3 linked regions of the Macaca mulatta genome follow. The protein of the gene in region 1 purifies or fractionates together with the protein of each later gene. This does not show direct contact. Links are inferred from orthologs where the notes say so. Each region holds a gene or a part of one and is shown in the gene's direction. Other genes may lie near its edges.

Evidence for each region.
Region 2: the proteins of PRKACA (region 1) and CDK5RAP2 purify together in Homo sapiens (affinity purification with mass spectrometry; 6 studies listed by BioGRID and IntAct, with this or other methods). This does not show direct contact. The link is inferred for Macaca mulatta from reciprocal best matches to the Homo sapiens genes PRKACA and CDK5RAP2.
Region 3: the proteins of PRKACA (region 1) and AKAP7 purify together in Homo sapiens (affinity purification with mass spectrometry; 4 studies listed by BioGRID and IntAct, with this or other methods). This does not show direct contact. The link is inferred for Macaca mulatta from reciprocal best matches to the Homo sapiens genes PRKACA and AKAP7.

The regions. Positions count from the first base shown.
Region 1 is NC_133424.1:14,678,736-14,682,381, reverse strand, and holds the end of PRKACA (cAMP-dependent protein kinase catalytic subunit alpha), read left to right. Parts: intron 1-1,068; coding exon 1,069-1,233; intron 1,234-1,621; coding exon 1,622-1,747; 3' UTR 1,748-3,169; downstream 3,170-3,646.
Region 2 is NC_133420.1:37,812,657-37,816,278, forward strand, and holds the end of CDK5RAP2 (CDK5 regulatory subunit-associated protein 2), read left to right. Parts: intron 1-2,167; coding exon 2,168-2,214; intron 2,215-2,662; coding exon 2,663-2,719; 3' UTR 2,720-3,080; downstream 3,081-3,622. UniProt on the Homo sapiens protein: Potential regulator of CDK5 activity via its interaction with CDK5R1. Negative regulator of centriole disengagement (licensing) which maintains centriole engagement and cohesion. Involved in regulation of mitotic spindle orientation.
Region 3 is NC_133409.1:36,176,926-36,180,671, forward strand, and holds the start of AKAP7 (A-kinase anchoring protein 7), read left to right. Parts: upstream 1-1,138; 5' UTR 1,139-1,150; coding exon 1,151-1,415; intron 1,416-2,769; exon of another isoform or gene 2,770-2,844; intron 2,845-3,746. UniProt on the Homo sapiens protein: Probably targets cAMP-dependent protein kinase (PKA) to the cellular membrane or cytoskeletal structures.

The DNA.
Region 1 (3,646 bases):
GGGCTCAGAGTGTATGGGGAAAACTTTCAAGAAGAGTCGAGCTGCACTTTAAAGAATGGAAGAGCCTTAGCTATGCAGAAAGAGAGGAGAGAAAAAGTTTGTCATAAGCATGAATATTTCAGAAGTCTCTGAACCCCAGCAGAGATGCCTTCAGCAGCAGCGGCAGCAGCAGCAACTGAGAATACAAGTTCTAGAGTCCAGTAGACCTGAGATGGAATTGCCCCATCCCATGCCTCAATGTGACCTTGGAAGAGCTGTTTAACCCTTCCAAGCCTCAGTTTCCCCTTCTCTGAAATGGAAATCATCATAGCACTTGCCTTAAGAGCAATGGTTCTTAAAGGGGACCCCTTTCCAGCATCACCGTTGCTGGGGAATTTGTTAGAAATGCAGATTATTGGGCCAGGCACGGTAGCTCACAGCTGTAATCCCAACACCTTGGGAGGCCGACGCAGGTGGATCACCTGAGGTCAGGAGTTCAAGACCAGCCTGACCAATATGGTGAAACCCTGTCTCTACTAAAAATACAAAAATTAGCCAGGTGTCGTGGCGTGAGCCTGTGATCCCAGCTACTTAGGAGGCTGAGACAGGAGAATTCCTTGAACCCAGGAGGCGGAGATTGCAGTGAGTCCAGATCGCACCACTGCACTCCAGCCTGGGCTACAGAATGAGACTTTTTTTTTTTTTTTTTTTAATGCAGATTCTTGCTGGGTGCGGTGGCTCACGCCTATAATCCCAGTACTTTGGGAGGCCAAAGCAGGAGGATCGGTTGAGCCTAAGAGTTCTAGACCAGCCTGGGCAATATAGTGAGACCCTGTCTCTACAAAAACTTAAAATAACTAGCTCTTGAATTTTTAAAGTTTTTAAAGAAATGCAGATTCTCAGGCCACAGTATCACTTCCTAAATTGGAAACTGTAGTGTAGGCTCAAGGAGCTGTTTTACAGGATGCCAGCAGGCACTCAGCTTTGGAGGCCCCCACCCAGTAGGACTGTTGGATGGAGAAAGAAGCCTCATGGGCTCCCCAAGTTCCAGACCAGCTTCCCACCCTGTCCTTGTACCCCTTCCTCCAGGTGCGGTTCCCTTCCCACTTCAGCTCTGACTTGAAGGACCTGCTGCGGAACCTCCTGCAGGTAGATCTTACCAAGCGCTTTGGGAACCTCAAGAATGGGGTCAATGATATCAAGAACCACAAGTGGTTTGCCACGACTGACTGGATCGCCATCTACCAGAGGAAGGTGGGTCTCCCCTCCTTAAGCTGCTGAGGGTTTGGGAGCAAGCCGCGAGTCAGGGAGGACAGCCAATAGAGAGAAAGAGAAGAGAACACAGGTTCAGGAGCAACCTAGAGTAGAGAGCTTAGAGCAGTGGGGTCTAGAAATGGGATTCTGGGGTCATTTGGCCATTCCATGACCTTGTGCAGCAGATGCCTCTCTGGGAAATAATTTCCCCTTTGATGAGTTGGCTACATTAAGAGTTTCAGGCTGTTAAGAGGAATCCATAACCTAATGGGAAGCACAGGCCTGAGTCAGAGTAAATATCTCTTGAATGTTAGGCCATTCGCATTTATTGTTGTAATAATGATTATGTTGAATGCTGAGGTCTGGGTGATTCTTGATCCCTCTCCAGGTGGAAGCTCCCTTCATACCAAAGTTTAAAGGCCCTGGGGATACGAGTAACTTTGACGACTATGAGGAAGAAGAAATCCGGGTCTCCATCAATGAGAAGTGTGGCAAGGAGTTTTCTGAGTTTTAGGGGTGTGCCTGTGCCCCCATGGATTTTCTTTTCTTTTTTTTTTTTTTTTTTTTTGGTGGGGGGGTGGGAGGGTTGGATTGAACAGCCAGAGGGCCCCAGAGTTCCTTGCATCTAATTTCACCCCCACCCCACCCTCCAGGGTTAGGGGGAGCAGGAAGCCCAGATAATCAGAGGGACAGAAATATCAGCTGCTCCCCCTCATCCCCTTTGCCCTCCTGCCCCCTCCCCCACTTTTCCCTTCCTCCTTCCCCACAGTCCCCCAGCCCCTCAGCCCCACCCAGCCTACTTCTGCCTGTTTTAAACGAGTTTCTCAACTCCAGTCAGACCAGGTCTTGCTGGTGTATCCAGGGACAGGGTGTGGAAAGAGGGGCTCACACTTAACTCCATCCCCCACCCACACCCCCATCCCACCCAACCACAGGCCCCACTTGCTAAGGGCAAATGAACGAAGCGCCAACCTTCCTTTCGGAGTAATCCTGACTGGGAAGGAGAGATTTTTAGTGACATGTTCAGTGGGCTGCTTGCTAGAATTTTTTTTTAAAAAACAACAATTTAAAATCTTATTTAAGTTCCACCAGTGCCTCCCTCCTTCCTGTACTCCCACCCCTCCCATGTCCCCCCATTCCCCAAATCCATTTTAAAGAGAAGCAGACTGACTTTGGAAAGGGAGGCGCTGGGGTTTGAACCTCCCCGCTGCTAATCTCCCCTGGGCCCCTCCCCGGGGAATCCTCTGCCAATCCTGCGAGGGTCTAGGCCCCTTTAGGAAGCCTCCGCTCTCTTCTTCCCCAATAGACCTGTCTTCACACTTGGGCTTTGAGAGCCAGACAAAGCAGCTGCCCCTCTCCCTGCCAAAGAGGAGTCATCCCCCAAAAAGACAGAGGGGGAGCCCCAAGCCCAAGTCTTTCCTCCCAACAGCGTTTCCCCCAACTCCTTAATTTTATTCTCCCCTAGATTTTAATGTCCAGTCTTCCCTCAGCTGAATGGGAAGGGCATCCCTGCAAAAGGGAACAGAAGAGGCCAAGTCCCCCAACGCCATGGCCCGGGGTTCAAGGCTAGAGCTGCTGGGGAGGGGCTGCCTGTTTTACTCACCCACCAGCTTCCGCCTCCCCCATCCTGGGCGCCCCTCCTCCAGCTTAGCTGTCAGCTGTCCATCACCTCTCCCCCACTGTCTCATTTGTGCTTTTTTCTCTCGTAATAGAAAAGTGGGGAGCCGCTGGGGAGCCACCCTATTCATCCCCATATTTCCCCCTCTCATAACTTCTCTCCATCCCAGGAGGAGTTCTCAGGCCTGGGGTGGGGCCCCGGGTGGGTGCGGGGGCGATTCAACCTGTGTGCTGCGAAGGACGAGACTTCCTCTTGAACAGTGTGCTGTTGTAAACATATTTGAAAACTATTACCAATAAAGTTTTGTTTAAAAAAAAAGTGTCGCTGGTGTTCTCGACTTCGATCACCCACCCACACACCCCCAGGGGGTTGGAAAGGGAATTTCGGACCCCAGAGTGCAAGCCGATCAGGTCCCGGCTTGAAGTCCTTGTAAACAGGGTTTAGCTGAAATTCCGGCACTCCTTCGGCCCCGCAGGAGAAACGAGCGTCAAACTGCCCTCTGACCCCAGATTCGGGATCCCCAAATCTGCAGCGCGCCCCCTCGGCGTCCAGCCCGGGACCGAGAGGGCGCTCTAGGGAGGCGCTGGGGCCGGCGCGCCAGAAGGCCGAGCGGCAGCGGGGGCGGCCCTGGCAGGGGGAGTAGAAGGGGGAGAGGGTGCGCGCCCCCCTCCCCTCATCCTTAGCGCCGGGCCAGGCGCGCCTGAGGGACGCGGGGGCGGCGGCAGCAAGAGGGTCCCCGCAGCACCCTGCGAGCGCGGCAGCCCCGGCCCGCGGGCGGCGAGTTCCCGGTAAGTG
Region 2 (3,622 bases), on another chromosome or scaffold:
CTTGCCCCAGGCAGCATAGCTGGTGGCTGGCCCGGGCCTGCAGCTCCTCCTGTGCCAGGCTCTGCAGCTCATCCCAAGGAGCCAGGTCCTGGGAAATTCTCCAAGCCCCGCGGACTTCACAGACCTGCTCTGTGAAGGGGACTAGGTGAAAGTTGGCATAGCACCTCCTCTTCCTCCATCCCCTCATGGTGATGGGGAAGGGCAAATGCCAGGGCTGACTGCTACCTGGTCAAACTGACACCATACCTTCTCAGAGTCTACAGGGGAAAGTAAGGAAAGGGCATCCCAGTGGGACCCTAAGAGTCCTGATGCCCTGGGGCCTCTCACTGGCCATGTGACCTGGAACCAGGTGCCTCAGTTCCAAGCCTCAGGTCCTCATTTGCAAAGTGAGGACAGTAGTTCTGCCCCATAGGGTGGGGGAGTATTCAGTGAGGCCACAGTTGGAACCACCTGTCACCAGGTCAACACTGTTCAGCTCAGGTCTTCCCAGCACTCTGTTGAGGTGGGAAGAACCGTGGACTGAGTTGGGCAGACCCTCGTGTGAGTCCCATCTCTGTGCTGGGGCCAGTCTAGATTTGGGACGAGTCCTTTGTCGCTGTGTTCCTCGGTCTTCTCCTTGCAGCGGGGATTTCTGTGCTTTGGAATGCGGCAGTGCTGTTGAGGTGCAGGGGTCCCCTCAAAGCTTGAGCCAGGTGATCCTTAGTTCTTCTGCCAGGAGCTTTGTTCTCTAGGGACATGGAGTGCTCTTTCACACTCATCTTTAACCTCCACAGCTGTGATACTTCATCTTTTCTGGGTCTCAGGCCCCTCGGTGAATCTGGAGAAAGCTGTGGTCTCTCTGTGGAAAAATGCAGACATCCAGATACATGCCCTCATTTGCACACAGTGTCGGAGGATTTAGGACTGATGCCCCAAACATATCCAGCGCCCCATGTCAAGAACTTCGCCCTGCAGCAGGAGGTCAGGTTGGGAGTAGAGGGGCAGTGGCCACCTCTGAAAGTCGTTTTGCTTGGCTAAAAACAAAGTCCACACCGTCTGTCCCGTCCCCAGTGTCACAGATTGCACATAAACTCCATTACCTCCAGATGGAAATTTTCATGTGGTAAGAAATCGATATTTTCTCAAGGCCACCACACAACACCTATTCTGAAGAAGCCACTGGGGAGCCGGGCTGTGTGTGCTGGGCGTTGAGTCTGTTACAGCCTCTGGCACTGTTGGCTAAAGGTGCGGCTCCAGAAGCCTTTGGTGTTTCCAGCATGGGGAGTAAGCTGATCTCCTTACCCTCACCAAGCCCTGTTCAGAACAGATTCCCTGTCAGGCTCAACTCTGATCAAGAGGGGCATTCTTGCCACTGCTGGAGTTTGTGTTGGACAAGAAAAAGTCTGAAGGAAGAGCCACCTTTCCAGTTGCACCTGAAAGCCAGGGCTCGCCCGCCCCTCCTGGGAATTTGGATACACAGGGCATCTGTCTAGTACGGTGCTCCGGGCGTCAGCGTCGGCAGGGACCTCTGAAACCATCCCACCCAACCAACTCCTGTCCAGGCAGAATGTGACTTGCCTGGGGAACCAGGCTGGGCTATTCCACCAGCTGAAGGGCAGGCAGAGGAGAAGCAGCATGCCCGCGGCATTTTCTTCCAGGCCATTTGGAGCTGGCTCTAAGAGCTGCTGGGTAAAAACCTGGATTTGTAGAACTTAGACCCTCCTATGTGGGTCTGCCTGATCAGGGCACAGTCCCTTCCCACAGCTGCTTCCCACAGGGCCTAGGAAACTCAAGAGTGCTGGGCAGGCCCAGGCCTCTACCCTCCCAGTGCCATTGCCCTCCCTGGCCCACAGAGGTGAGCCTGAGGGATACCTGGACAGCCGGGTGACGGTGCAGAGCTGTGGTGTCTTCTGTGAACCGGCATAGCGTGCTCTAGTCTCTGCATCGCTGTCAGGTGGTGGCTTAGTGGGGCCTCAAAGAGGTGTTGTTGAAGCATTATTTGGCTCTGGGGTGTGTGATGGGTCAGGTGGGCCCTTGGTACCTCCCTCTGGTCTGGATGCTTCAGACCTCATGTTGTCCACATGTCTGAGCCCTTTGGGGTGGGGCTTATCCTCCCTGCACTTGGCTTTCACACGGCTCTCCTGGACATCTGTGCCCCTAATCATTGCATTCTTTGCTCTCTCCTCAGTGGTCGTAACCCACAAAATCCTTCGGAAGGCCAGAGGAAACCTGGAGGTATGCCCTTTGAGTCTTCACTGTAGGCCAGTGGAAGGTTGGGAGGGGTGCAGGGCCAGAAAGGACCTCTTGAAAAATGAAGGTGCAGGGGGAACCAGGGGACATGTCCTCCTCAGAGAGTTGTGTGTTTCTGCCAGCAGTGCATGAAAAGTTGTGTTTTATCATGCCCTGTCGTCAGTGGGGGTTCTAAGTTTTAAATTTGTATGCTATTTTTACCAGTAAGAAATTCAGCAAACAATGCTTGGCACATAGTAGGCATTTGATGAATATTTCTTGAATGAATGCAGTATGATCTCATCGTCATTTTATTCGGTAAATATTTACTGACTAAACTATGTCTTTGAAAGCACTTTGAGAATAACAGTCTTGCGTTTACCTCTGTCAGGGGTCTTACTTCAGAAACCTCCACTGGACTTAAAATTCTCCTTTTTTTTCTTCCTTTTCCTAGCTTAGGCCCGGGGGAGCCCATCCAGGAACATGCAGTCCCAGCAGACCAGGCTCCTGAGAAGAACTTGCAGCCAATAAAGCTTGTGCTTCCCCACTGAGCTCACGCTGTCTCTTTGTTTCAAGTGTGGTTCCTATTTATTGAGGAAGAAAGAGCTGTCTGGCCAAAGGAAATCTTTTTTTTTCCCTTCATGTTTTCTCTCTGAAAGTTGGCTTGAGAGTTGTTGTCAGAAAGGTGCGGGTGCTCCACAAACGGGTGGTAAAAAGGCCTCGAGCTCTTGGATGTCGCATTTCAGATCTGGGGCAGGCACCGGAACTGAGGCTGTGCGCCTTGGTGGGCTTCACGTCTTCCCCTGGATTTGCTTAGTACTCAGCCAGTGCCGCAGTTTGAAGATTCTCATTAAATGATTCATTTCATTTCACCTTGACGATTCTGTTGTTTTGTATGGAGCCTCAAAGCCCAGGTCCCAAAATCCCAAGTGGGACAGGCCAGGGTTCCACGAGTCGCGTGGCTCACTGCTGAGCTCGCTCAGGTGTCCAGAGAAGAGCACCTCCGTGCAGCGTGGCTGTGGGCACTGGTGTGTGCTCAGCATCTCACAGTCTGCTGGACAGCAGCCCTTGCAGTGGTGCCATTCCCGATTTAGCAAAGAGCAAAGTGAGGCCCAGAGCTGGGATGTGGCATTTGCATTGTGCCCGTGATGACAGGGGTGTGTCATCAGCCATCCACATCGCTGCCTCTGACCAAGATGCCCCCAGCCAAAACACTTTAGCGGCTTCCCACTACCCTCTGATCCAAGCCCGAGCCCCTAACAAGGTTTACAAGCCTTGCTGGCACCTCTGGCTCCTTGCCCATCTCGCCTCCTCCCACTCCACTCTGTGTTCCGGGCAAACCGAACAGTGTTCTCCCCAGCCTAACCCAGGCTGCGCCCTCTCGGACATGCTCCTCTCACCCTTTCTTTTTCTA
Region 3 (3,746 bases), on another chromosome or scaffold:
GCGCCTGTCCCTCCACACCTCCCCACAAGCAGAGGGAGCTGGCTCAGGCCTTGGCCAGCCCAGAGAGGGGCTCCCACAGTGCAGTGGTGGGCTGAAGGGCTCCTCAAGTGCCGCCAGGGTGGACCCCGAGGTCAAGAAGGTGCCGAGAGCACGAGGGCTGCTAGCACGTTGTCACCTCTCACTATTACATGATCAGCTCCATAAGTAAAAGACCTGTCTTACCTGCACATTCTCAGCACAGAGCTCAGGTATTAAATAAATATTAGGGGAACTGGTTGTACTTTTCTACCAGCCCATAAATGGGCATCAAATACTCAACGTGTTAAAATTATTTGAAAATCAGAGTAACTAGTTTGCTGACTTCTAGTGTGCAGCCTTTACGCCAGCTGTTGTGGCTGTGTAGGGGTCTTTTCTTCCATCCCTATTCTAGGATGCATTCAACATAAGCGAAGTGTTATTACTCACAAAAAGTGCTAATATGTGGACGGATGCACCTAATGTTTTTGTCCCCTGGTTTCTTTGCACTAAAACCAATCCCAATAGCATTCTGTTTCAAGTGAAAGGTTTTTATTTTTTTTTAAACTAAGTAAATTGCTTTTTCTCCCAATTTACTCACAGCAGTACCTTACACTACAAAAACCAGCAACTGGTTTCCTCTTAATGTCTAAACATAACATTGTTAAAAATTAGAGACTTTGTCACAATTTGTATTTTTTAAAGGTAAGGTAAATAAAGTATCTTATTATACAGAATTACAAGGTCTCATTCTTGTACATTTCGCTATTCCCAAATATTCTGCAATCAGAACCCTGATTGCAAAACTAAGTACATGGGTTTTCAAAAGACACCGGGCCAGAGAATTCTTTCATCCTAGTCCCAATCTCGCCCCTGAAAGCGTGGGACAGGAAAGGCTGCGCCACGGGATATAAATGAGGGCTTATAAGGCCGTCGGAGGCCGCGGGGCTCGGGAGGCAGGCAGGACCCAGCGTTGCATTGCAGAGTCGAGACGACCTGGGCTGCCGTGACGCCGCAGTCGCCGGCCTTAGTTTCCCCCGCCCTGCCCGAGCGCGGCCGCGCCTCTCGCTCGAATCCGGGTACCGCCGGCGACTCGGGTCGGTCCCTTCCGGTTGGTTCCGGTGTCTGGCCTGACATGCCGGCGCTGCGGCGGCTGCTGCTGCTGCCGCGGGGGCTGCGGCTTGGGAAGCTCCGCGCTTCCGCAGGCCTGGCCTCCGCTGCCCGGGCCCACGCCGCCTGTTGCTGGACCCCGCCCCGGCCCAGCGCACTACCCTCGGGCCCCGGGCCCCGCCCTGGCCTCAACCTCTCCTCCAGCCCCTGTTTGCGGCCCGCCACCGCCGCTGCCGCCAGCCCATACGCGCCGCCCGCATGCGCCACGACCATGGAGCGCGCCGAAGCGGGTGAGACCTGGCTGTCCAGCGGGCCGGGGCGGGGGCGACAGGAGCCGCGGGGGCTTGGACCCGCTCTGCGCTCGACCTCTGGGAGGGCCTGACCCGCGCCGGCCCTGCTCCGAGTCTCCCTCCTTCCAGAAAGGACTCAGGGTAGCACCGAGGAGCCTGGTGCAACCGAGTGTACATCGGTGTTGCCTGTAGCGAAGCGTTTTAATGCACGCATTGTGGGTCCGACAGGAGGCGGGGGTATGAGCCCATCCCCGAGTTTCACTTTTCTTTTTCCCTTTCTCATCCTGTGACCCTTTGCACAAACTTAATGCCAATACACATTGCTTTTGACGGTGTCGATGTGAGTAAATGTAAACAAAACCTAGTAAAATCTCGATTGTATCTTATATCACAAATATTAAGCACCTGAACCACCATACTGTCTCATTTAGGATTTTCTGCCAGGTTTGAACATGACCAATTTTAAAACTGGCGCCAAGTCTATACTAGCGCCCGGGATGAAATTCCAGTTTGGGTCAGCGTTTGTTGTGAATTGAACTTTGTGAGTGGAGCATGTTAGGGGTTGGACTTTCGGTAAAAGGGACCGCAAACCAATTAGAGAAAAGGTGCTCCTCTGCAAGATTTTCATAGGATAAACTCATACAAGAGTATAAAAAGCATAAAAACGTTAACGTGTGCTATATAAATAGCAGTTAACTCATGTAAATATGTTTACAATTGTTAAGTGAATGGAGTGATGACAGTGAGTTTTTGCAATTAGGAAACGCATGGGAATGGAAATTGTTAAGGAGAAAAGAGCCATACTCCAGTTCCTTAAGTGCCGTGGCCTTGCAATTCAGGATCCTGTTAGCATATCTGTATATTTTCTATACTCATATAAAGTTTAAGATGTTTGTGGAGGTTACTTCCTCCTTTCATCCATTTTCGGACATTATTAACTTATTTTGTCCATTTCTCCTCAATAATTTGGATTGTACTTTTGTTCCCTTTTTATGAGGAGGAAAGGAAAGCCTGGAGGTCAGGTAACTTGTTGATTTCTACGCAGCAGTCAACATTTACTAACGTGTAAGATGTTAATACTATTTTTAGTAGCTAAGCCAGGACTAGAATGGATGCCTTTGGCCCTTTCTAGTTGTTCTTAGGAATAAACTTATTTATTTGTTTTTTTATTTAGAGACAGGGTCTTGCTCTGTTGCTCAGGTTGAAGTGCACTGGCGCGATCATGGCTCACTGCAGCCTGGATCTGCTGGAATCATGCCAACTTCCTGTTTCAGCCTCCCCAAGTAGCGGGGACTGCAAGGTCCGTGCCAACATGCCTGACTAATTTTTGTATTTTTTTTTTTTTTTTTTGTAGAGACGGGATCTTGCCATGTCACCCAGGCTTGAACTCCTGGGCTCAAGCAGTCCTCTCAGAGTGCTGGGATTACAGGTGTGAGGCAACTTGCTCAGCTGGGATAAATTTACTATTTACCTAGTTGAGTGATGAGAGACTTACTTAGCAAAATTGAGTAGTCATTTATTATCCAGATAGGAAACTTGCATTTTGTGTGACAGTGGGCGACTGTCCATACCCTTTTTACACTCGCTCTGTTGCTCAGGCTGGAGTGCAGTGGCACAATCTCGGCTCACTGCAACCTGCGCCTCCCGGGTTCAAGCAATTCCTCTGCCTCATCCTCCTGAGTAGCTGGGACTATAGGTGTGTGCCACCACGCCTGGCTAATTTTTTGTATTTTTAGTAGAGATGGGGTTTCACCGCGTTAGCCGTGATGGTCTGTATCTCCTGACCTCATGATCTGCCTGCCTTGGCCTCCCAAAGTGCTGGGATTACAGGCGTGAGCCACCTTGCCCGGCCCTGTTGGCCTATTTTTGATGAAGTCATTTGCTTCACCTATATTTTAATATTAGCATATATTTAAAGGTATGGTTTTATAATGTACTTAAAATGTATGTATTGTTTTTCTTAGAAAGGTAATATTCAATTTTGAAACGTTTGAATAGCAGAAATGAGAAACATATGAATGTATTCAGCATAGTTGTCAGCATTTACAAGCAGTTTATACTGTTTAGCCTTGGCCACATAGGTGGAAGAAACTTACCTTGAGTCTCAAATGAGACTTTGGACTTTTGAGTTAATGCTGGAATGAGTTGACCTTGGCGGACTATTGGGAAGAGATGATTATATTTTGCAGTGAGATTTAGGTGGCCAGGGGCAGAATGATAATAGTTTTTATGTTTGTCTCCTCCAAATCCCATGTTGAGATGTAATCCGCAATGTTGGAGGTGGGGCTTGGTGGGAGGTGTTTGAGTCATGGGGGCAGATCTCTCATGAAT